3 linked regions of the Arabidopsis thaliana genome follow. The protein of the gene in region 1 binds, or shares a complex with, the protein of each later gene. Each region holds a gene or a part of one and is shown in the gene's direction. Other genes may lie near its edges. The genes, in order: AT3G01435, MED8 and AT5G20170.

Region 1 (11,503 bases):
GAAGAAGAGAATTCTCATTCCTGATTTCAGCATCCATACAGCTGTAGTTACCATTAATTGCCAAGCCCAGATAACAAGCAACTTCTTGTATTGAACTAAATGTTTTTCCATTCGGAGCACAATACACTGCACATAACTGATAACCATTTAAAGGTTGTCTGAATTCGACACGCCAGCCATCTTCCAATACTCCATGCCTTTCAGATATGAAATGCCTGAGATTTTGCAGAAACAACTCACTTGGATCCAAGGATGGAAATCTCATGGGCAAACTACTATTGTTCAAGTTTAATGGGAATCCAAAACCTAGATTATGTGAACCCAATGCATCCATACTCATTTTAGTATTACGAGACATTAACCCTGAAGCTTCGAGACTAGCATGTCCTCTACCGAGACTTGAGAAGCTTGAATGCATCATTGCATAATCAAAAGAGTTTCCAATGCAAGAGCTGCTGGCGAGCATATGCTTTCTGGAGAAGAAGAAACAAGCAACCACATGATCCATCAGTGCTTTACAATTTCGGCTATGTGTTTTCTCAGACATACTCATGTTATATAAGGCCAGACAAGTCCAATCAAATAAAGTCTAAACAACTGATTGAAAATATATCGTATGTATAAGTAATTCATAAGAGAAGATCAAAGGCCCCTTAAAAACTCCAACGAACGGTAGCACAGAACGCTCAACTTATACTGAAACTTAAATTCAACAACACCAAATCCTAGTCCAGCTTAATCTTCAATAGTTTATCGCTTTAAAATCGAACACATTACTCGCAATACATGTAAAGACAGCTTAACCAAGTCTTGCAACTATGTTCTCGATCTCAACCCAAATTCAATTCTTATAAAACCCTAACGCATCGTCGAATACCAGAAGCAGGGGAACGTACCTCGAATCAGACGTCTCCTCAGCTCCGTATCCCTCAGCATCACTGGGCGGCGAGGCGTTCATGTCCAGAATGAGCTTGGACTTAACCCCCAACGGCCACAGTTTGCTCCTCTCGCCGCCAGTACGACAGTCGCTGCACATCCAATCGGCGGAAGGAGCCGCCTCAACTCCATCGTTGACACAAGACATATGAAAGCCTCGCTCACAGGCATCGCAGACTACAACGAGCTCTATAGACTCAGGTCTTCCACACGCGCCGCACGAAGCATCCCGATCCGGTTCAGGAACCTCGGCAGGGGCTCCAGGGGCTGGGTCCGGGTTATCGTGAATTGACCTAACAACTTCAACAGGTTCATATTCGCCGTCGTCATCCTGACCAGCGGTGCAACCACCGCCGAGAGTAGCGCCGGTAGGGATTTCGTTGAGATCGATGCCGAGAAAGGAGCGACTCTCTTCCTTGACAGCGGCGGTCTTAGTGTCTCCGAGTTGCTCGTTAGTAGAATCAGTGGGTTCCATTATTCGATTAGGTTAATGGAATCGAGCATTGTTTGCATTGAAGACGAAGAAGAAGAAGAAGAAGATTGAAAACAAAACCAAATTGCGAGAAAAAGAGGTTTTCTTATTAAATTTTTTTCTTTTTTTTTGTCCACTTTTCCCGAAGTTCTGTTTGGAGAGAGAAAACAAAAAAACGTGAATGAATCCTTTTACCCTTTTTTTTTCTTTTTTGTGTGTGCCTTTTCCTAATTCCTATCACTACTACTACTAAACATATTTTCGAAGATGCTGCTACTCACGTAACGCACCAAAAGTTTAACCTAAAAAAAATGTTAATTATTGTATGATGCTAAATTTATGTTAACTTTAGAAAAATTTAAACTTGATTGTACTTGTTATCAAATTTACGGAAGTTTATAAAGTAAGATGTTGCTTTTATATTGATGTTGGTACAACGCGATAAAGATAAGTAGGAACTAGGAAGCAATAGATCTCCTCCGTAGTCAAATATGTGACTCTGTGTCAGAAGAAAAGGTAAAGAATTAAAAAAACCATTGGCATCACGAGGAAAGTAACTCGAGGAAGGTGTAATAAACACGTTAATGATACTACTAATTTTAAAAAAAAATTAATTAAGAATTAAAGCAGTATTCTTCTTCTTCTTCTCCCTTTTAAGTTTTAACAACAAATTTTACTAAGTACTAGTCTAATCAACCGATTAAAAGAGTCGACCAACTTTTGAATAGTGTAACACAAAATCAAAAGTAGGAGGAACACAGCGACAGTTAACAGATTTGTAAACACTTGTCACCTACATCTACCGGCCCAACTTAGCTACAAGTCTGCAACATCTGCGACAAAATATTTTGGAACGTGGTGGATTCGTTTTATCGATCAATGTATGCTTTCCTTGTTAACTATTTCAATGTGCATTTTAACATTATTTGTTCTAGTCATTTCATTTTTGGTTTTCAGTTTGTAACTGATTGATACAAATAGTAGCAATTGGATACGGTGGGTGGCAGCTTTGCAACATGTTTCTTATCTTATATTTTCAAATTTGCACTCCTCATGTGCATCAGTGCATGTAACATGTGATGTACTTTATACGTTCAATTTATTTCGTTTAGTAGAAAATAAAATATTTCCACACCAATCCAAGTTTTTACGTATTAAAAAATATGTATATACCAATTCCATATCTAAATAAAAATAAAAATGCATATCTAGTCCGAGGGTATTTGAGGAATTTACAATAACCAACCAAAGTGTATCAGAGAGAAGGAAAAGAAAAACATTAATTTCGCCCAAGATATGCCGTACAAATGGGTCCCCTCCGTTGGATCCATAAAACGACGTCGGTGTAAACGAGTATGACTACGACGACTCTACTACGAGTTGCGAACTGTTGGCCGGAAATCAATTTCGTCGTCTTCATCGACTCTTTCTCTCCCTGAATTTTCTCTGGCATTTCGAATTTATAGAGGTACGCGAGTCAAATAATCTTCACTATTTACTCTTCAAGTTAGTAGTCATCGATACCGCTTGACTCGCCGCTACTTTTTCTATTCTTCTGCGTTTTCGATCTTTCGCGGTTGCAGTAGTTTACGGCGCCGGAGTTAGATTTCGGACTGCGAGGATTTGTTTGAACTTTTTAGAGTCCTTGAGTGGGATCGAGGTTTTTTGCTTTTGTTTTGAGTAAATTTCGTAATTGTTTGAAATAAGATTTGGGAATGTAGATAGATCTCTGCTCTTTAATGTTATTGCTGTTGAACTCTCATAGTAATGTGTTTATCTTACCATTTCTACTTTGAAAGGGTTTCATTGGGAATACTTAATACTAAGCTAGAGGTCGAAAATTCATCTATAATCTTATCTTTGGTTTTGTAATCGCAGATGCTAAACTTATGTTGTTTGTACTTATAATGGCGTCTTCTTTGTTACTTTTCAGGTACGCATGGCTGCCAAGGCTTTAAAAGATTTGAAGAATCTTCCTGTCTCTGAGAGGAATATCGACTATAAAACAAAGCTTTTGGTTGGCAAAATGAATGGAACAGCTGAAGATAAACCACCACAAAACTCTGTCCCCTTTGATCACAATCATCCTAAAGGCGATGAGATTGAGAAACCTGAGGCAGAGAGAGTTATCGTAGAAATTGAGTATATAGAATCCAAAGACTTGAACAATGTAACCCAAGTTGATGCAGTTCTCAAGGTATCAATTGTTTTTTCCTGCTAGTATCCTATGCTTTACTGTGAATTCTCATTTGTAATGCTGCCTTGCAAATTTGCAATTATATTCATCTGTTTAGAATTTGGACATTGGAAGTAAGTTGTTTACCTAATACCATTCTGGAACTGCTTTCTTTATTATTCCAGTCACTTGTAACCGAGCTAGACTCCAAGGATTGGGTTTTGGTCTGTGATGCTCTTAATACCATTCGTCGTCTTTCCATATTCCACAAGGAAGAAATGCTGCATATGCTGTAAGTCATTTTCTTTCTACTCGTGATTATGATCAGTTTTAGTAGAGCGAGTTACACGTCGAGAGAATTTTCTAGTCTCACGCTGTCAGCTCTTACAGGGAGAAAGTGATCCTGTTTATCGTGAAATCACTGAAGAACCCAAGAAGTGCTGTAAGTAAAACCGCATGTATGACATCTGCTGACATCTTCAGCTCATATAATGACCATACAATCGATCAATTGGATCTCTTGGTAAATCATCTTTTGCAGATACTCTTGGAATTCTCCTCAAATAGCGGACATTTGTGTGTTCTTATAACAGTAACTCCGAATTCCCTTCTTACAGCTTACTCAACTCCTCCTTAAATCTTCCCAAGACAAGCGATTTGTTTGTGAAGCAGCAGAAAAAGCATTAGTAGCAATGACTGCACATGTTTCTCCTGCCTTGCTGTTGCCAAAGCTTCAACCTTTTCTCAAGAATAGGAATCCTCGGATCCGCGCAAAAGCATCCACGTGCTTCTCCCGATGTGTTCCCCGACTGGTAAATCAAACTGCACTCGATATCATAAAACCAGTCTTGTTCTTTTGTTTTGGATTTGTCATGTCATCACCATGACAACCAATTTGGATCCAGTCCATGTTCCCACCAACATCACCTTTCTTTGGCTGTGTAATCATTAGGGCATTGAAGGCATTAGAGAATATGGAATTGAGAAACTAGTCCAAGCAGCATCGTCTCAGCTCAGTGACCAACTCCCAGAATCTCGGGAGGCTGCACGGGCAGTCTTACTGGAACTTCAGACAGTGTACAAGAAAACTACTAATGTCGAACCGAAGGAGGAGCATCCAGAGCCAGTCACTTGGCAAATCTTCTGCCAATCAAACCTCTCACCTCTTAGTGCACAGGCTGTGATACGTGTCACCAATGTCGCAGGTGTGGCTCGAGAGGGTCTTGTTGCGGGTTCATGACAGTCACAAGCCCTCAGTTTGATATTGTAAGCCTCTGTGAGTAAACGTTGTACGACCACTGTTTCTCTATCTTTGGTTTATGGGTTTGTTTCTTTATTTTGTGTGTGAATATGTCGATGTGGTAAGATAAATCTCAACGACTCAACCGTTAGTTTTAGGCAAAAAGTTAGTCGGTTTATTTGATATATATCATGTTTTAGTCTATATTACATTGGTTTTCTTAAAACTTTTTTTTTTTTTGGCCAAATGTTTTCTTAAAACTAAGATTTCAATATTAAACATTTAGTGCATATACTCTTCTTTCTGTATCTTTGATTGAAAAATTAAAATCCAATTCGTTATAAATTTGATCATATTTTGGTCTATACATTACATTTTTTTTTTTTGATTACTAGATCTCAATATTTTTCCGCAAAGATTACAATTTATGACCACAGAGTTATCAACCATGTAGGATCATCAATAGCAAGTAAACCGGTATAAACCGAACCAGGATCATGCCATTCTGGTCATTACCTCTTGAAGAAGAAACTTTGTATCTTTATAACACGATTCCGTCTCTGCTAAGTTCTTCGTCTTAGCTGCATCTTCAAGCTGTGTCGAAACACCAAGAAAACAACAAATAAACATATAGGATATATCAGAAAAGAGAAGAAATTTTAAAAAAACAATAGTCTCTTCGGTTTGAACGAACCAGGACTTCATTAGTACACTTACCTTTTCGAAATTGTCGAACAATCTGTTGGCTAAATCAGTGAGAGGTTGCTTGTCTTCAGAGGCAGCAGCAGAGATGAGATTGTCGAAATCGTAAAACAAAAATGTGGATTTAAGCCTCAAGTACTTTTTCACATAGTTTAAAGTATCTGGTCCGATCAAATCCTCCATTGCCAAGAGATCAAAAGCATTCTTTTTAACTCTATACATTCTTCCTTTCGTCCCGATATCCGCTACATACACTCCTTTCTTTATGAATGTTCTCGTTCCCGTCTTCTCATTCACGATATCTGTATATTCAAATCGAGGACGAATTCAAAACCGGAAATCAAATGATTCTACCAAATCGAATTCTCATCTTGAATAGTTGTATGGCTCAAAATGTTCAAACATTTGAAGAAAGAAAACAATCAAGAATATAAAATGGCGCTTACTGTTGTAAATAGGAGGAATTGGAAGAGGACCATCAATCCAAAACCCATTGTCTTGTGCCAAGGAAACATTATTTTCGCCGAGAATTCCGGTAAGACCTATTGAGACAGCAAATCCTAATGTCATCCGTCTTGTGATCTGTACCGAATCCGGTTCTTGAAATTCTTCAGTTCTCCTGCAAGCAAACCCGCTGGATTTCCCGGTTTTACGACTCTCGGGTAGTTTCGGAAGAGACGGTAAAGTGTTGGTGAGACTGTTGAGGTCTATGAAGTGAGCCATTGCAGTTAGAGAGTAAGCTTTAGGTGTCAGCCTCTGTTCTTGTGTATTGTTTACGGTTTTTATCCGTTATAAATGAGAAAAGCGGCCATCACAAAGATTTTATCTGAACCAAGGGGTGTTTTCGTAATTCAATATTTTAACTACTCGCTGTTCCTGAATTGATAAAGTAGAGTTCGTGCCGTTTTACGTGACAAAAAAAACTTGTATCTTCTTTGCTTTTTCCTTCACCGATCTGTATTGCCGAGTGTCGCCGATTCCCCAAAATCTTCCCTCCGTTGCTGATCATAAGCACGCCGTTTCCAATCGAAATTCTCCGTGTTATTTCATCGTCTCTGCCATCTTCACTGTCTCGCGTCGCCGTGTTCGATTGAGGTACTCCCACTGCTCCGATTTGAGTATTTAGGGTATGTGTATGAGTGGATTTGACGGTATTGTGATATATCTCAGTTTGGAGTTCTCTCTCTCTGGTCTAAAAGAAATCGTGGAGAGTCCAATGGATCCGCAGACGCAGAACACTTCGTTGCAGCGACTCCAGAATGTTGAGAATGTGAAATTTTGGAAAACTCACTCTTTCCTTAGAGATTTTATTGGACGATTTGATGTGAATGTGTTTTTGTGTTTTTATTTTTGGTTTTCCGGGCAGAGAGTTGTTAAGGTTTTGGAACTAGCTGGTGGAGTGATGGAAGAACTCGCGAGCCCTTCTGGTCCCAAGAAAGAGTTCGTCAACAGCCATTGCCGAGAGTTTATGCAATCTATGAAGGTTTCTTACTCTATCTCTTCTTCAAATATTTTCTGATTTCTTTTGCATTAGTGTATTAATAAACTACCTGATCAAAGAACATTGGGGATCACTTGACACAAGTCTAGCTAGATTAGTGTTCTTGCTGACTCAATCTCTCTGGGGAATTGGTATCTTTTCTCGAGTGTTGATCGTTTGGGCTAATTTGACACAAGTCTATATTAGGGTTCATTACATTTCCTGATCAAAGTTAAGGGCTTTGTTTAGAATTTTGATTTTGGTTTTAGTCTTCAAGATGGCCGCTGCTTCTCGTTTTGTGATTCTTCTGTGACTAGTTAACATATGGGTTCATGTATCACAATCTCTAGGTTTGTATTCCTTTCCTGTTTCTTAGGATTTGACATTGATCCTTTATTCTTAGGCTTAAGGTTTATGAGTGATGGATGCTGATATTTTCATATTGGATGGAATCTCACTGTTTAAAGAACATTTGGGCTCTCATTTGACACATGTCTAGATTAGGGATCATTACATTCTGTGAACAAGTAAAAAGCTTTTGATTCTGCTTTTTTTCTAGAGATAATCATAAAGTTTGAAGATATCAGCTTCATTGTCTGGTTCATGAACTTGTTGATCTTTGACTGTACATAAATGTGCTATAATGTTATCGCCAATCCATAATAAGATGAAGTTCTTGTGAAACTTGCAGGATATACAAGTGACACTAAGGGAAGAGATCAAAAGCGCTTGCGAGTACCGTCCCTTTGAGAAATGCGATTACAACGCGAGAATAGCCAATGAGATCTGCTTCCAGAAGCTTGAATATGTTCTCACGCAGCTTGAAGATCTGAAACAAACTGCTGACCGGTATCCTTCTTCTGATTGATATTGGTATTCATAAAAAGGTTACTTGAAGAACTATACTAAACCATCGGTTGTGATATAGTTTCCAGATGAGTTGTAGACTTGTAGGTTATCCCATTAAAGTATGTCCGGTTTTTACGAATGAGTGGCTTGTTGCAAAAGTAAGATATTATCCTACTTACTATATTAGATTTTGCAAAAAGATTAGGTGATTTTGGTTAGAACATTCACTTGCAATGAATCTGTTCCAAGAATATTAGATACATTACATCCACTGGGAGTTATCAATTTCAGCTTATGGAGAAATCGAACCAATTTTGGGCCAGAGAGAAACGGACCAATTTTATTGCGGTTTAATGTATCGATCAATACTTGGAACCAAATGTGCTAACGTCAATTACGTATATGAACCCCTTCATTCATATGTGGTTTAATAAATTAATAGCATCAACAGCTGAAATTCCCGGTTAGATGTGATAAAACCAAAGCGGTTAAAAAGGGTTAATGAGAACCAATATTGCCGGGTTGGCGGTTACGCCGTTTTGTGCTCTTCTGTTTTAGTTACAGCTCAAGAGACGCGTTGATTGGAGAAGGTGATAGAAATCTCTTGGGTAGAGGGAGAAAATTAGGGTTTAGAGTTGGAGATGAGAAGAGGAACGACGATCTAAGGAGACAAAAGAGAGTAGCTAGATCAGGACGAAATTCCATATTTCCTTCGTTTCTGTTTCTCTCTGAGAATGAGTCATCAATCGCCGCCGATCGCTGAAGTTGATGCCACCGACGATATGCACGAGGCGTTGTTCGCGAAGCGAGGTTGTTGTTTCCTCATGCCCTGCCTTGCCTCATCTCAGCCATCAACTCGCGGCGGATCTGTGTGGTGGCAACGGATCACGACCGTCGACAAACTCGAACCCGACGAGCGATGGTGGATCCGAGGGTGGCGGAGGATGAGGGAGTGGTCGGAGCTCGTCGCTGGACCTAGATGGAAGACGTATATCCGCCGGTTCGGACGCAGCAACTGCTGTGGAGGAGGAGGAGGGAGAGTCGGAAACAGCAGCGGAGGATGCGGAGGTGGTGCAATGCCTAACCGGTCATCGGATCAGGGTAAATTCCGGTACGATCAGTTGAGCTACTCGTTAAATTTCGATGACGGAAATCAAACCGGACATTTTGACGACGAGTTCCCGTACCGAGATTACTCGATGAGATTCGCTGCGCCTTCCTTACCGGTTTCCACTAAATGCTCAATTGATTTCGATAGCGACATTGATAACAAGTGAAAGCCACGCGCTCGACTTTTTATGTTGTCGTGTGTGAGACCAAAATGAGATGGCATTTTGTTTCTTCTTCCAATATTTTTTTATAAATTAGTATTGACTATTGAGTATTATTCTGTCATTACCAATGTAATTACAAAGAAAAGCACCTTTCATCCAAGAAAAAATTTAAATATAGAAATAATTAAACAATTTTTTTTTCAAAACTCTAGAAAAAAATAAAAAATTAGGAACATAGGGAGTAAAAATTTTCAAACCATCAGGAATTAGGTTCATAGGATTTGGATTAGGGTAAAGCGTGTAAGAATTAGTGTAACACTAAGATTATCAGGATTTGGATTAGCGAAAATCGTGTAAGAATTAGTGTTCCACAACTACAAGGATCACTCGTTGATCTGTTTTTTTATAGGATCGCTTGTGTAGCCACCTCTTTCTCCTTTTATGGAATTCATGATGATATATGATCAATTTTTCTCTGATTTTTGTAGTTACCCGTAACCATCCATATTTGCGACTCTTTATTTCTTTGTCAAACAAACTACAATCTTATCTTTTCTTTTGAACTTTTTTTCTGCCACGTATGTTTCCTTGTAGTTGATTTGATCTTACCCTATCATGAATTTGGAAAAAGTTTACCTTTTCGAGGGACTCTATATATATTTGGAAATCACTGACATCATCAAGCACTTTCACCACTTTTGTAGATTCGGAGGAGTAGAATTGCTCGAATGTAATTTACCTGTTTCAAGTCTTTGAATTGGATTTTTAGTGGTGCGTTTGGTTGGATCGCGTTAGGCTTAAGGCAGTAGGCTATCATAATTTTTTGGTGGTTGAAAAGTAATGTTGATAGTTCTTGTGATAGATCTAGTGTGCGCGACCATATGGTGTTTACAATTTTTTCATATTAATTAGTCCATGGAAACATGCATGACATGACCGAAACGAACTTTTATATAAAATGACCAATTTATATAAAATGACCATGACAATTGAATCTTAAGTGAAAGAACGAAGCTATTTTAACCCAAACGATCACGTGAAAATTTTATTTAATCCAAGACTTATCTACATCTTAATAGTTGTCATTTGCTGATGTTTCACATTTAGTTATCAAATTGTTACTCTTTGATCTTTTATTTATTGGATCAAATCCAGTTACGTATAATTTGTAAACTCCGACATGATCTTCTTCGAATACAGTTCACATTCCACAGAGAAAAGATCAAACATGTTTGGTATCTACATTATAATAATACGTGACGTCTATTTATAATTTGGTTTTTATTATATAGACGTCATATATAGTTGTCAAGGATATATTAATTATGAACCTGGTTGAATAACCGAAAAGAACCCTAATCCCAAGAGTTTACTTGTATGACTTTTATTATGATGAAATTAAACAATAAATCATAAACCTATAAATTTAGAATTATCAACCAAAACTTAAGTCGTACGTTTGAGTATATAGACGTCATATTAATTATAAACCTGGTTGAATAAACAAAAAGAACCCTAATCTTGAATTACTTGCATATATGACTTTTATTATGATGAAAATCATAAACTTAAGTTTAGAATTCTCAACCAGTTAAGTCGTGTTCGAATATATAGACGCCATAGTTGTCAAGAAAAATATTAATTATAATTTATAAACCTGGTGGAATAAACAAAAAGAATCCTAATTATCGAAGAGTTTACTTTTATTATTTATGATAAAAACAATAAATCATAAACTTCGAGACGATTTAGAATTATCAACCAGTAAAGTCGTGCAAATTAAGCAACCAAACAGTGGTAAAAAAACCTATTGAATATTGTCTGGTCAACCAAACTTCAGGTGTCGAAATTTTTATATATACTATAATTTATTGGTATTAATTAATTTTGAGTAACACGCACGAAAACTAACAGAAATGGTATTATTTTAACATTTCATCCAAGACATTTTGAGATTTGGTCTGTCTAATATAGATATATATTATAAAGACAAATTACTAGTACATACATAGATATCTTTAAGAGCCAAAGATTCGGACGTTTTCTGATATACGTGCAGAGAGAGACTGATTCAATATAAAATGTTCAAATAGTATAAATCAAAGGAGTAGCCGAGTAGGACTAAACTAACTAATCTAACTTGTCTACGGAAACATAAAAAATATTAGATTCTAACACGTACCTGATGATGGCTCTATATATCAAACTTATTTTATTGGATCATTCTTTTTCCTTATTTTGAAGCAAAATGGCAATCTTTTAATCTTTGATTGTGTTCAAGAGCGGACCTTGGGTAAGGGAGGAATGGGTTGGTTAACCAACCCCCATTAAATATATACATATATGCTTTAATGCATGTAGAAACTTAATTTTT
Region 2 (11,503 bases), on another chromosome or scaffold:
TCTGTTAAAAAATTTGTCTTCGTCGGAGTCGTTGTCGCTGTCGCAGCGATTAATAAACGAACATGCCCGAAGTTACAGAGAACAACACCACACACTATTTGTAAAATTATGAAGCAAAAAACACATAAGCTAATGAATACTCAAGTCTTGTGAATTACAGAGTACATTGAAAGAAGCTAACAGAACCATTGAGAAAGATTCAAAGTAATGGACATAATTTGAAATTTTGAATGGTTAAACGCAAAACATTTCTAATTCACTCAGCTAGGGATATGTGATCATCTACTGAAACCCACGTACTTGGTGCAAATCATCACTTTTGCAGTCAATTACCATCTTTCTCATGTAAACTTTAAAGCAACTTTCATTCCTCATCAACTAGATTCTTAATTACCTTACCAAAAAAAAAAAACTAGATTCTTAATTACACCTTCATGATCTAACATATTGAAACAAAAAACTATATACAAGCTCATATGAAAGTGTCTTAGCATGTCCCAAAGTACAAAACTTCTGCAATTTTCATCTCTCAAATCTCAAGTACCAAGAACAAAGAACATCAAAAAGCTTACATTGTTGTTGTTGATCATCATCTTCTTTCACGATCTCAAGTTACACATTACATGATCTAACGAAACATGTACTCAGCCTAATCATTGAAACAGAAACTATATACAAAACTCATGTGAAGTGTCTTGACATGTCCCAAATCTCAAGTAAAAAGAACATCAAAAAGAACGTTGTTGTTTATCATCATCTTCTTTCAGCAGACCTAAGACGAAGTTCTAAAAGCCAATGGTTAAACTGACCATCACTAACCTTCAACATCTCAGACAAAGGCATCAAAATCCCATGTTCCTTAAGCAATCTATGCCTTGGCTTTATCTTCCTCTCCAAGCTAAACGAAAAATACTGAGGGAAACGTTTCAGCTCCTTAACATCTCCACGCATCTCCTCAATAAAAAACTCAACTTTAGGAACTAAATTGTTATCAACACTATAAGTCAACAACGCCGGAGATCTCACAACCATCTTCGCTACTTCTTCTCTTGTAAACCCTAACCCTTCTTCAAGATACTCAATTTTGGGGATTAGGGTTCGTTCCACATTCGATACAAGCAACACCGTGTTCCGTGACGTAATCGTGTCGCGACCCACGAATCCTAGGGTTTTGAGGAACGTTAATGCAGGACGAAGCTGATAATCTACAGATGAAATTAGCAATCGAGGACAACGAGAGATCGATTTAGGTATGTCTTGCTCTGAAATTGAAATCTCATTGGATAAGAAGCGAAGAACTGGTAAGATTTCAGATTCAGGATCAGAAGTTAACAAATCTGGAAACATGTCGAGGATACGACCAACGGCGGGTCTTGAGAGTCCGGTGGAAGAGAGTAGAGTCTCGACGGAGACGACGGAGGAGATTGGAGCAGAACGGAGAGATGGGTTTACTCGGAGAGCTTTGTGAGGATCTACGTTAAGGTCTTGAAGGTAAATAAGCTTCTCCCGGAATAGAATCCCAGTATCTGAAGTTTCTCCGGCGAAACATCTAATCCTCACGGCGGAGAAACACGGCGGCGGAAAAAGAGAACACCTTGCTATCATCATCGTCGGTGAGGTAGAAAAAAAAAGTTTCAATCTTTAAAGTGTGGATAAAACAATGGAAGAAGGGTAAAATGGTAATTCTGGTGTAACGGTCAGATAAAGATTAAACGACGTAGTTTTTTGGTTGAGAGTTGTTTCTGCTTGTTCTTCTTCTTCCAATGAGGATCCCTATTCTCAAGCGGCTTAATCATAAGACCGGTTTTTGCGCAGAGTCTGTTAACCGCAATCATCTTCTCTGTCTCTATCTCTACCTCTGGTTTTCGATTCTTCGTTTCGAAGTTTTTTTTTTTTTTCCCTTTCTTCTTCAAGAGGTCCTTTTTAAGATCTCGCTCATGGTTAGTATCAGCTTGGCGTTTGAATTTGCCTCTTTAGGTAAGTTTCCTTTTCTTCTTCTCTTTCCTTATCTCTTCTTAATAAGGGTTTTCACAATCTCTCTGTTTTCTTCAGAAAAAGATTGAATCTTTATTGAAAACCCAAAGTGATGAAATTGAAATTCATGATCTGGGTATTATAGATTGCAGATTCTGGAAACGTATTATGTTAATGATTCATTTCAAGTTTTGATTTTTTGTGTTGGATTGAAGAGAAGAATAGTTTATTGATGTTTTGTGAAGAAGAAGAAGAAGAGATTTTGATTTTGGTTTAATATATAGTTGGGGATTAACAGGATGGGAAGGGTAAAATTGAAGATAAAGAAGTTAGAGAACACAAATGGACGCCAATCTACATTTGCTAAAAGGAAAAATGGGATCTTGAAAAAGGCTAATGAGCTATCTATTCTTTGTGACATTGATATTGTTCTTCTTATGTTCTCTCCTACTGGCAAGGCTGCAATATGTTGCGGTACACGAAGGTAATCTATCTAATGTGTCTTCCTTTGTTTTGTTTGTTGTCAACATAATCATTGTCTCTCTTGGATTGTGTTATCTGAATGTATTATGATTGTTCTTCAGTAGCATGGAAGAGGTGATTGCTAAGTTTTCTCAAGTAACACCGCAGGAAAGAACGAAAAGGTTTGGTGTTTTCTTATCGATATGTTTTTGTTTGTTTCTCCGGCAATGGTTGGTCTTGTTTTACTCATTGGTTTCATCTTTTTTGAATACAGGAAGTTCGAGAGTCTTGAAGTAAGTTTATTTTCACATAATCAAATGAAGTTTTTGGTTAATTTTGATCCTTGAGAATCTCTGATTTTAGATGTTTCTCTTTCGAAAGCTCAGAACTTGAAGAAAACTTTCCAAAAGTTGGATCACGATGTAAATATACGCGAATTTATAGCCTCAAGGTATGTCCGGAAACAGTTTTATATCAAAATCTCTTGCAAGAAACTCTATATGAATATTAACTTCTTTTCTTCTCTCTTGTTTGCTTTTGGTTCTTTGGTTTCAGTAATTCAACAGTAGAGGTATTGGTTTTAAGACTCTCTTTCCATTTCTAACGTCTATGACATTTGCCAAAGCCTAAATTTATACAAAACAACCTTTTTTCAGGACTTGAGTACTCAAGCAAGGATTCTGCAGGCTCGGATTTCTGAGATACATGGAAGATTAAGGTAAAGATCTTGCTGAGGATGATAGTTCTTTGTTCTCTTGATGTCTGTGCTCTTTTTTATACTTGTTAGTGTCATGTTCTGCAGTTATTGGACGGAACCAGATAAGATTAACAATGTTGAACACTTGGGACAGCTCGAAATTTCGATTAGGCAATCCCTTGATCAATTGCGTGCACACAAGGTATCTTTTGTTTAAAACTTTTCCATTTCACTTCATCCGCGAAACAAAAAACTAAAAACTCTTCTGTTGATAGGAACATTTTGGGCAGCAGCAACAGGCAATGCAAATAGAAAACGCAAACTTTGTTAAGGATTGGTCAACATGCTCGGTAATTTACTCGAATGACTCTTCTTTAGTTCTCATTTGTAACAAAACAAATTGTAAACCCGGCTGTACAACTTTCAGATGCAAGATGGGATTCAGATTCCTTTAGAACAACAGCTTCAATCTATGTCATGGATTCTTAATAGCAACACCACCAACATTGTCACCGAGGAACACAATTCAATCCCGCAGAGGTTAGTGAAAACTCTCACCGAGAGAACTTTTCTTTCTTTTAATATTGAATCATATCTTAAAACCAAATCTTTGTCTATCCTCAAAAGGGAAGTCGAGTGCTCAGCGAGTTCTTCATTCGGGAGCTATCCAGGCTACTTTGGAACAGGGAAATCTCCTGAAATGACAATTCCGGGTCAAGAAACAAGCTTTCTTGATGAACTAAACACCGGACAGCTGAAACAGGACACAAGCTCGCAGCAGCAGTTCACTAATAATAATAATATCACAGCATACAATCCCAATCTTCACAATGATATGAATCATCACCAAACGTTGCCTCCTCCTCCTCTTCCTCTTACTCTTCCGCATGCTCAGGTGTATATTCCAATGAATCAGAGAGAGTATCATATGAATGGATTCTTTGAAGCACCACCACCTGATTCTTCTGCTTACAACGACAACACCAACCAAACCAGGTTTGGTTCTAGCAGCAGCTCCTTGCCTTGCTCAATCTCAATGTTCGACGAATACTTGTTTTCCCAGGTAACCAAAACAAAACTTTCTCAGAGATTCTAAATGGGTTTTTGTTTTGTAGACTGATTTGACAATTTGTTCTTCTTTCTTATAGATGCAGCAGCCGAACTGAGAGAGATTTGATGAATGATGATAAAACATCTCACTGAAGAAACTCAAACCAATATTTTTTTTCAGAAACAGCAAGAAAGCTAAAACTCTGCCGATTTCTGAATTGGTTCCAAGAAGAAAAAAACCAGTGGTAATCCCTGGTAGATTGTGCAACCAAACCACACACAATACGTGTTCATTTATTTTTTCTATATCTTCAATAGATGTCACTTAATTCTTTTCTATACATAATTTCTCAGTCAGATGAGATTTTTTGAGGTTTTCCATATTTCTCCGGCGATAAAAGTTAGTAGTGTCTTTGGAGGGCTGTCAAAGTAACGCCATGACAGCCAAAAGATGAGAAACTCTCTCTTCCTTCCCTTCCCACAAACTCTAGCCTCTGTATCTATTCTTTTTCATTCTTTCAATGTAAAACAAACAAACAAAACAATGTTTACTACATTTTTGTTTTTGTTTTTGTCTTCAAAGTACTCTTGTTTATTAAGTGATTTATACAAAAGTTTACAAGTTATGTAGGATGAACTAAGGAAGCTTATGTTTATGGGTTAGAGAGACTACATTGGATGATTCTTCTAGGATTTTGAATCACCAAGAACCATCAACAAAGCCAACAGTATCTTTCACACAAGTTACTAATATCTTCTTAAATAGTTTTACTTTGTAAGAACCATTTCCTTGAGTGGGTTTACAATGGGACGGACTAACTTGCGTACAAAGACCGTTTTTTATTCACTATTCATAATTTTGGTCCGCAGTTTAGTAAATAGGAAAAAATATAAAAACTCTAGGGGAATTGGAAAACTAACCAAAAAAAAATATAATTAAGAAACTAGCATAAAAAAAAAAGCAATGATATCCTCTATATTTTATATATTAATTCCAAGTTTACCCCCTCTATCTCTTTCCGTCTACCTCTCTCTTCCCTTCTCTCTCCCCTCTATCTTTTTCTCTCTCTCTCTTTCTCTCTCTTTCTTTTTTTCTCCCCCTCTCTCTTTCTCCTCCCAATAAAGTTCCTACACCTACCTCGTTACTTGTTTTTTATTTCAAATTAGAGTCTCTTAATTACTTTAGGGTGATATTTGATTTGGGGGTTTCGAATTACAGAGCGAGGAACACAAGTTAGGTTCAGGGAATTGACTTTCGTTGTTGCACTTGATGATGAAATAGGGTTCCGTTGTTGCGCTTGGTGTATTGGTGATGAAATTGAGTTCCGTTGTTGCATTTTGAGAGATACTATTCTATTTTGTAAATAGTATACTATTTACGTATACCTTGTTCTATATACGTTTTAAAATGAATTGTTTGTTTTGATTAAAGATGTTAAGTGATTTCATTAATGTTTTAGATTTAAACCCTTGGGTTCCCTATATATTATCCCTTTAGGGTTTAGTATACTTCCATCAAAAAATATTGTCAATTTATATAGAACGTTATGTTATTCATTGACAACACTATTCACATCTAAATTATTTTGTGTCTATTTTCAAAAATTTAAGTCATGATATTTGTAGAAAACTATACAACTTTTTAATAGATATATCATGAACTTGAATTAAATTTTTTAAGATCAGATAATATGAGTTACAATTGAAAAGGAGTAAAGAAAAAAGAAAGAGAAAAGAGAATTTCTCTCCTACCACCTATTTCTCTTCTCACCTCAACACCAATAATAAAGTCACGTCAGCTCACACTAATCATTCTCCTTCTTCGCTGACGAAGCGTAACACCAGGACAGTGATGTCTTTTTACTCTCCTTGAAGGTTATTTACTACATTTACAAATTTATGGTGTTAGTTGGTTAATTATTTAGTAAAAAAGTGTTATATCTACAAATCACGCAAAACTCTATTACGGACCAACAAATAGTTTATTTGAAAGCAAAAAAACAAAACTTGGTCCGTAACGGATTATTGTCCGTCTTAGAAATATAATGGTCTACTCCGCAAACAGATTTGTCCGTCTTAGCGACATATTGGTCTAGTCTGCAAACGGATTTATCCGCTCTGTCTATTTGTTGCAACCTTGTAAGTTTTCAAAGAGGAAACACATATATATGTTATGGATTCGGTATGTTATTATATTTCCCGGTTCTATTTCTCAAACACACTCTCTCGTCTTCTCCAATAACTAACTTCTCCAAATCAAAGCCTTCTTCGAGATTTTGCGCATTCCTCGTTTTCTAATTCGTAAGTTTCTCTTTTGTGTGTGTTTCTAATCGAAACTTTTGTGTCAATTTCAAATCGGAAACCTAATTAATTTGTTCAATTCGCTGTGATGTTAAAAACCCCTAATTACGTTAAATTTGGAATTAGGGTTTGTGTATTAGCTCTGTGTTATCAATGGAGACACAGCCGCAGCAACCACCTCCTCCTCCGGTAGCTGAGAAGCTGAATCCAAAACTGGAGAAGGAACTGAATCTGGAGTCGTTGAAGACACGAGCCGTTAGCTTGGCCAAAGCCATTGCTCGAATCCTTGAAGATTTCGACGCTTATGGTCGAACCAACACTACTCCTAAATGGTTCATCATCATCGAATCCAGAATTTGATAATATTTTGATGTTTATGAATTTTTTGTAACAAGGATTGATTTTCTTTTTGTTTTGAACAGGCAGGATATTCTAGGGCAGTATTCGATGGTAAATCTCGAGCTTTTTAACATTGTGGAAGAAGTAAAGAGAGTTTCAAATGCGTTTGTTGTGCTTCCTAAGAACGTCAATGCTATGAACGCTGCAAGTATGGTCTTTTTTTAGTTGTTTTAGTTGATGAGTTAAATGAATTGTGAATGTGATGAACTGGTTTAGCTTAGCATTTATCAGTGAATCTGCAGTTTTACCGGTTATGTTGTCTTCGAAATTACTACCGGAGATGGAAACTGATGACAATGCCAAGAGAGAGCAGTTGCTTCAAGGTGTTCAGAGTTTGCCTATACCAATGCAAATCGAAAGGCTTAAGGTTAGTTTTGTAATGTATTTTTGTTGTGATTTGTTTGCTGGTTTTTGAAATGGTATCTGTTATTACAGGCGAGGATGGATATGATTGCAGCAGCTTGTGAAAATGCAGAAAGAGTATTAGCTGATACTCGTAAAGCTTACGGATTTGGCACTCGTCAAGGCCCGTCTATGCTTCCTACTATGGATAAAGGTCAAGCTGCAAAGATTCAGGAGCAGGAGAAAATGCTACGAGATGCTGTAAATGACGGTAAAGGTAAGAGGGTTTTAGAATTTATTGAGTCATTTGATAGTGTACGAAACTGCAGTTTTCTGTTTTGCTGAATTCCTTCTCATGTTCTTTTACAATGGTTGTTTCTAGGAACACAACTGCCTCCAGACCAGAGACAGATAACCACTGCACTTCCACCACATCTGGCAGATGTGCTAATTATCAATGATGCAGGTAACGATTTCATTGATCTGTCTGGTAGAAGTAAACCCAATGCTTGAATCTTCTTTATTTTGTTACTACTACCAATGGTATTCTCACGTTGTTAATGGCTCCAAAAATTCTCTTTCATTAGGTAAGATTGCATTACCTGGGCAATCAAACAACATTAACAATCAAGGAATGATGCAGGTTAAACTAGTTTATTCTCTCTAGTTGTGATGATTATTACTTTTGTTAGTATCATTGTCTTTCGAGGTTCATGTCTTTGTGTGTTTTTAGGTTTCCGGGACTCAATTTGTGGGAAGATCAGCTGCATCTCCATCTGGTCCTAATTTTGATAACACAACATCTCCCTTACCATATTCCAATTCTCCTCGCGCTACGGGTATGGTTAATGTGCCTTCGCCTCAGCATCAAATCCAGCAACAACAGTTTCAACAGCAGCAGCAAAGGTCAAAATTAATGCAGTTGCCTCAACATCAGCAGCAGCAACTACTTGCACAACAACAACAACAGCTCAGGCAATCTTCTATGCAGGGATTGGGTCAAGTAGGCTTTGACATTTTGCAGACGTAGCAATTGACTGTTTTTTCCTACCATACTGCTTTATTGAGCAACATGCTAATTCTTTGTGTAGAGTCAGATACCAGCACTTCATGATATGCATGGGCAAGCTCAGCAAAAGTTTCAGACGGTAAGATAAATAGAACTACAACATAGTTAGGGGATAGATGTGTGAAGTGAAAAGGATCAGACACTACCTTGGTCAATTATTTGTATCATTATGCAGTAGTTATGGCCATAAATGAAGATGACTAGACGTATTTATACAAGTTTACATATACCAAGTGAATGATTCATACTCTTGAAAAGTTATCCTAGATCTTGGGACTTGGCAGAAGCTTTTATATAAAAGTAACTGTGACAGTTCGTAGTTTCAAACAGTAGAATCAAATGAAATTATGAAACAAGCTTTTGTCTTTTAAGTGTGAGTTTTATCTTATTTTTCAGTCACATGGGCAACATCAAATGCCATATTCCCAGCCAATGGGCGCGCACCAACAATTCCAAGCTAGACAGCTCTCAGGTGGACATATTCAGCATAGCATGTCTCAAGGACAGCTCAATCCAGCGATGAACCGTCACTTAAACCAGTTTTCAGGTGGAGCCAATAGTGCATTGTTTACTTCTGCACAAGGCTCCCCAAGTAGCCAAATGGTCAGTCACCTCTCTTTAACCTCTTGAATTGATGATTCGAAACAATTACTAATCATATTTTCTACGTACTTTTTCTTTTAATTCTAGATACCAAACATGTCATCTATGCAATCTCAGACACTTGTTCCTAGGATGCAGGTTAGCTCAAAAACTCCTCTACTCATTATGTTTCCCAAATCTGAACGATGAACATTGTCTTAATCTGATGATCTCTTTGGATTTTTATGGTTGTCAGCAATTTGGAGTTTCGGGTACCAATCCCCAAAGAAGCCATTCGTCTCAAATGTTGGGTGACCAGAGTAAGTAAACAAATCTCTTCTAAAACATGTTTTCTTACATCAAAATCGATTCCCTGACTATTTCATTTGTCCTATCTTTACAGTGTTTAACACCAGCGGAATGATGCAAACACAGCAAACACAAATTCAGCAATCGCAACAGCAGCAGCAGCAGCAACAACAAGGAGGCTATGGAAATATGCAGACGAATCAGCAGAGTCTACAGCCTAATAACATGATGCAGAATGCTCAACAAAGGCACCAAAATCCTCAATAACCCCTTTTAAATAATTTGGGCTTGTAATGGGCCGATGCCTGTATTTTGTAGTACCAAAGGCCTGGCCCATTCTTTAACATTAATACACTCACCAGATTTCTCTAGTTGTATGGTACTTTCACACTACACTAGTACACTTTGTTTACTTGTATCATTGTATGAGGTTAAAAACGTGAAGCAGAGATTGGACGGTGGAGGATTGTTTTCGTTCTGACATGTTTATTGAGAATTCGACACGTGGCATCGACGTGAACATCTCGACGCCGTTGATGGGGTTATAGAGACAAAACGAAGACGCGTTTCTGTTGTACACGGGACTCGAGAGAGCGACGTGTCTATGAAGTTTACCTGTTTTCTGAACTTTAAACAGAGAGCTTTAAAACTGCGACTCGAAAGCTATTAAATTTTCTGACAATTTGTTTTGTTTCTTGTCAACTTAATTTTATATACTCATTTTTTATGTACTTATTTAGCTCAACGACTCGTTTAGTTACCTCAATCAAATTTTGAAATTTAGTTACCATTTCTTTTAAATTTTTTGTTTGCTTTTGTTACAAATATGAAAAACTAGTTTACTTTGGTTTTTAGGAATTTGCGAAAAAATCACTCAAAATCGCTTATTTTTACAATTTATTGTGCACATTCAAAAAATGCAAAATAAATTTATAAAATTTAAAATAATACACAATATAATTTATTTGTGCGATTTTGCATATGTTATAAACGTTTTCACTATAACATATATTTGTATTCAAAAGTTTTAAAGATATAATTGAACTCATCATCTCAAAGGCTTTGATTTGATATATTATTTTCTTTAATATAAATATTCAATGCATAATTTTCTTTAAATTAATTTTATATAAAATAAATATTTTACTATATATTATATGAAATAAATGCTTTATTATAGGGAAAAAACCCAAAACAAACCTCAACTTGTTATGAATAAAGATGGATGCTCATTATAACGCCCATCATCTAAACTCATCATCTAGATGTTTCTAAGGTTTTACCCTTTCCTTGTAATCCTATATAAAGAACCCTTTACCTCAATGGAATAACACACTCATTTTCTTCTATCTCTTTCTCTGTTTATAACACGTTATCAGGACGCTCTAAAAGGTAGATATAGAGATTCTTACATTTTTTTAAGAACCATGTTTACTTATCGACTCATGGTTCATAGTATTTATTTTCTATTATTGAAACAAAACAATATGAGCCGATCGATGATTATAGTATAGATCGGTAAAAGCATGTTTTCAATGATTCAATAAAGAAGAGAATCATGCTTATCATTTGTTTCTATAATTACTATCGCATGATTCAATGATTCTACAAAGAAAATCGTTAAAGAAGATAATCATGCTTATTAATTGTTAATTTTTGTGATTTATTATTACAATAATGAATATATAAATTACCAATTTTATAATTATATAACTAATTTTGTAACTATTCATAACCCGGTGGTAGGTGATGCAAACATGTATTAATGTTTTAGCATTCCAGTTTTGAATAGTTGCATCTATATTCAATATCATTTTATAAATATTATATTGTCTAAAATCCATTTATGATTGATATGATATCCCTTATTTAACTCCTTTGATTAAAACGTTATACATATCTTATCACTTTTAGATATTGACTTTTCCATATTAAATATTTGATTTCCATATATTTGATTGTGTTATTATTATTTTTACTAAAAATGTTGCAAGATAATTTTTCTTTTTATAAGATTCCATATATCTAAATCTTTGTGTTATTATTATCTAAAAATTTTTATAAGATTTCCATATATTTGATTGTGTTATTATTATTTTTACTAAAAACGTTGCAAGATAATTTTTTTTTTTATAAGATTCTTTTCTCTAAATCTTTGTGGTATCTAAAAAAAAAAAAAAAAAAAAAACAAAAAAAATTGTTCATGGTTTTGCCCTAATTTTGCACGAAATCATTTTACCCAAATCTTGCACGAATTCATATTAGCCTAAATAAAAGTTTTGTCAAGATATATGTAAAATCCAGATTTTGCACAAAAT
Region 3 (3,600 bases), on another chromosome or scaffold:
GGCAAGGAATCCTGAACCTTTGAGAAATTATCCTTTCTGAATTTTATATATTGAGTAGATTAATTATCCCTTTCGTATTTTTTGTTTCCTGTGAAAGAAACACAATTATGATGGTTATCTCTCGAGATCAATTGGTTAAAATTGCAGCTCAAAAATGGAAATTACGAAAGAGTATGACAATTATTGGTGAGGTGATTTTTTTGGAATGAAGCTGTTAACGATTTGACTGAGGGAAAACTACAACAAAAAGTAATAAAGAAGGCTTGTTATGTCCAAAAGTAGTACTGTCCAGAAGCGGGGCCCATGGGATATGCCTATCAGAGTGGGCTTCCTGTGACCTCTCACACCACCACGTAGGACCTACGAGCCGAGTGCTCAACGGTGGAGAAAGAGAAGGGTCGTTGTCGTTGAGAAGTCTCCGTCTCTCCAGTTTCATTGTATTTGATTCGCATTTAGTGGGTGTGCTTTGTGCAGCCTCATTTTGGAATAGTGAAATTTGACTATAAACATGCGCAAATGAGCCACAACATATTTCAAACTACTTGGTACGCGGTCAATACAAATTCAACCACAATTTGCTCATTTCCTTGGCATGTAATCGATGTGGATATCACTAACCAGAGTTTTCTAAAAGAAAAACATATTGATCCCTAACATATGCTCCAGTGGAAAATGTAAAAACAAATACTCGAGTGTCATAATATATCTCTTTGTTCAGGTCATGCGAGGCACAATCAAACAGGTCTCGAAGGAGCATACGACTGACCAAAGTAAAAGTGGAGAGATATACAATAATGTTTCATAGGAATTGGAAGAAAACTGCGATTACAAATCTGAAGAATAAAAAGGGAAATGCTGACATCCTAATTTCCTTGTTTGAAGAGAATGGATGCAAGACCAGACCTCCATCCGAAATACGCTGTTGGCATAGGCCTTTTGTGTAAAAGTGATGCCAGTCCGGCTGATACCCCCTGACCAGGCAGCCTCACCAACTCCTGACTAGCAATCGGCTCAGCAAACCTGTTTTACAATCCCAAATAACTTTTTAAGTAAGTTACTCTCAACTCTGCGAAGGAAAACAAGTGCACATGCTTCATGCTTCTGTGTGATGTTCCACTATAATGTATTTTAGTAACTGTTCAACAGACTCTAAATAGATCCTCACTTTTCATTCAATGATTCTATAGGACAAAATTTGGGTAGTAAGTGATTCACAGTAGTCAATATACACTGTATTTAACCCGTCCAAAATCCGAATGAGACACCTAATTACTCAAAAGCGAAAACCAGATACAAGATTCACTTACAAAGGGGAAGGTGTAATTCCTTCATAAGCAAAGGAACTGAACCCTTGTCTTTGCTTGTGCTTAGGATTGGAAGAGCATATAACATACACACGTCCACGACGTTTCACTGTTTTACAAAACTCACACATCTTCTTCACAGATGATCTCACCTTCATTGCTTCTCACTCTGCAATTCACAACCGATCATTAACACAAAACTCATTAGATGAAAATGAAAGAGAACTCTTCAAAGTATTCAACTTTAAGATTCAAAACTAAGGATTGTATCCTCTAAACATATCATTTCTACTTAATCTACCAGAAAAACTGCAATCCTTAGTTGATCCGATGATGGAAGCAAAAGTAAAACGAATCTGAAGCATCCATCTCTAACTACACGGAATCACACAAGAGAAAACCCTATAATAGATCCAGATACGAAATCGAGTGATAATCAACGAGAACCCATCAAGCGAAGAACAAAAAAATACCTGCGAATTCAAAGGCGACTACGAAGAAGAGCAATCGATTCCCAAATGCAAATGAAAGGGTTTTACGGAGGAGTTTTGCACAGTCAGAGTACAACATATTTTGGGCTTTTAATGGGCTTTACCCGTAAAAATGATCCGGAATTTTTTTGACCCGGATTATTAGATCTAAATATCCGATTTGGAGCGTTGAAGCGATTTGGCCGGACTGTGTTACCGTCGACCTAGAAAATCTGAATTTTTGACCGGGAAGATTTTTTTCTGTACGATATGGATAGCGACATGGAAATCTCTCTCGACAGGCTTCCCATTAAACGATTGGAATCTATCGAAGAAAATGGCGCCGAGCGTTTTCCTTCGTAAGTGTTGTCTGGTGTTTGAGAAACGAGACAAAATCTTCCCAGATTGTTTTGCTTCTAAATTATTCCTTTTGTTTTTGACGTGTAGTGATGTTGATTACGATGATAAGAGAGTATCGCTGATTCGGAGAATAGACTTCGCGTGGGCGTTGGAAGAGGAAGATGAGCTGAAGAAGAAGAAGCAGAAGAAAAGCTCCAAGGATAGCGTGGAGCAATGGAAATGGAAGGGAATGGTTGAGAATTTGCAATTGGCTCATCAGGAGCTCACTGTCATCATTGACCTTATCGACACAGTGAGTGACTCTTGTTGATAATAGATAAGAATTTTGGGATATTCATAGCTCTTACAGTGTCTGTTTTATTGGTTTGAATGGAAGGAGCTGAAGTTTGGTTTCTGATATTTGAATAGAGAGTAAAACTTAAACAATTTATCTTCTGATTTTATCTTTGAAGGTCCAAGCAAATGATGCAGTAACAGTTGCTGGGATGACCAGACCTAAGCCGATGCCGAATGAGATTCTCTCGGATCTTGCTGTGTCTACTGCTACCAAGCTGCAGGGCTACCGGGTAATCAGTAGCTTACTTTCTTATGTGCAATTTAACTTTGCTTAAAGATGGAAGGATTCTTGTAATTGTTATTAGTTAGGCACTTTTTAGTATCCTGAGAAACTGTTGGAAACATTAACTTGGTTTCGTAAAGAGCTTTTTAACTATATAATTGTCTTTGGATGGTATGCTTATCTCACTTCTGAATATCTGTTTCCTCTGCAGAATTTAGGAAACTACTTTAAACAATCAGCAAAAGCTTTAGAGCAGAAAATCAATCGTGAAGCAAGGTTTTATGGTGCTCTTATCAGGTTCGAGTACTTGCTTTTCATTTAATGTCAGTGGCTATTTTCCTTAGTACTATTTTGCAACTTTTAAGAATTTGTTGTTTGCATTCTTGATACTAGTTTTAGGTAGCTTACAATGTCATAGCTATTTGTGTTGTGCACAGATAATTAGCGTCCGAATTTTGGATGTAGAGTTATTACGCACGTAGGTTTTGTAATATGTTATGACTTATGACTGATAAACGTGAAAGCATTTTATTATTCTTGTCTAATGTGAAAAAGTTCTAAATTTTGACTTCTACACCGTCTCTGTTACTGAACCTGCATAGTACAGTACTTCAGGAACATCCATTTTGTTGTGTAGTGACTGCTTAAGATTATGCCAACACAAATTAGAGAATTTCCGTTGAAATTGCTCATAATTTGTATAAAATGATAAGCTGACTTCAGCTTCCAAAATAGAGATTGATTTATACGTGCAAATGGTTATTTTTGCTATACTAACAAGCTTATAGGTTGCAGCGGAACTGGAAAGTCAAGCGACAACGCATGCTTGCTTCAAATGCCAGCAATGAGGGCTTCACCATTGATCTTTCTGACAGTTCATTATATGATCCGACTTCTGGTTTTCGCC

What was found.
Region 2: AT3G01435 (region 1) and MED8 share a complex: the UniProt entries of both Arabidopsis thaliana proteins name them as parts of the mediator complex.
Region 3: AT3G01435 (region 1) and AT5G20170 share a complex: the UniProt entries of both Arabidopsis thaliana proteins name them as parts of the mediator complex.

Annotation. Positions count from the first base shown.
Region 1 is NC_003074.8:163,224-174,726, reverse strand, and holds AT3G01435 (uncharacterized protein), read left to right. Parts: upstream 1-6,438; 5' UTR 6,439-6,621; intron 6,622-6,673; exon of another isoform or gene 6,674-6,696; 5' UTR 6,697-6,742; coding exon 6,743-7,009; intron 7,010-7,697; coding exon 7,698-7,874; 3' UTR 7,875-8,213; downstream 8,214-11,503. Other genes in the region: MBD9 (methyl-CPG-binding domain 9), read right to left, coding at 1-473, 897-1,411; AT3G01450 (ARM repeat superfamily protein), read left to right, coding at 3,348-3,605, 3,770-3,876, 3,975-4,107, 4,202-4,396, 4,537-4,824; PnsL3 (PsbQ-like 1), read right to left, coding at 5,320-5,418, 5,542-5,828, 5,973-6,249; AT3G01430 (NHL domain protein), read left to right, coding at 8,590-9,132. UniProt on the Arabidopsis thaliana protein: Component of the Mediator complex, a coactivator involved in the regulated transcription of nearly all RNA polymerase II-dependent genes.
Region 2 is NC_003071.7:899,341-910,843, forward strand, and holds MED8 (mediator subunit 8), read left to right. Parts: upstream 1-6,172; 5' UTR 6,173-6,484; intron 6,485-6,610; 5' UTR 6,611-6,637; coding exon 6,638-6,816; intron 6,817-6,906; coding exon 6,907-7,031; intron 7,032-7,125; coding exon 7,126-7,250; intron 7,251-7,318; coding exon 7,319-7,502; intron 7,503-7,607; coding exon 7,608-7,691; intron 7,692-7,812; coding exon 7,813-7,868; intron 7,869-7,958; coding exon 7,959-8,228; intron 8,229-8,316; coding exon 8,317-8,373; intron 8,374-8,690; coding exon 8,691-8,897; intron 8,898-8,984; coding exon 8,985-9,035; intron 9,036-9,132; coding exon 9,133-9,196; intron 9,197-9,279; coding exon 9,280-9,452; 3' UTR 9,453-9,932; downstream 9,933-11,503. Other genes in the region: EMB93 (Mitochondrial transcription termination factor family protein), read right to left, coding at 754-1,608; AGL30 (AGAMOUS-like 30), read left to right, coding at 2,274-2,458, 2,559-2,618, 2,711-2,729, 2,823-2,887, 2,992-3,007, 3,093-3,154, 3,239-3,335, 3,409-3,483 and 2 more. UniProt on the Arabidopsis thaliana protein: Component of the Mediator complex, a coactivator involved in the regulated transcription of nearly all RNA polymerase II-dependent genes.
Region 3 is NC_003076.8:6,809,174-6,812,773, reverse strand, and holds the start of AT5G20170 (RNA polymerase II transcription mediator), read left to right. Parts: upstream 1-1,854; 5' UTR 1,855-2,044; coding exon 2,045-2,133; intron 2,134-2,221; coding exon 2,222-2,426; intron 2,427-2,586; coding exon 2,587-2,700; intron 2,701-2,904; coding exon 2,905-2,990; intron 2,991-3,481; coding exon 3,482-3,600. Other genes in the region: AT5G20180 (Ribosomal protein L36), read right to left, coding at 864-1,020, 1,308-1,462. UniProt on the Arabidopsis thaliana protein: Component of the Mediator complex, a coactivator involved in the regulated transcription of nearly all RNA polymerase II-dependent genes.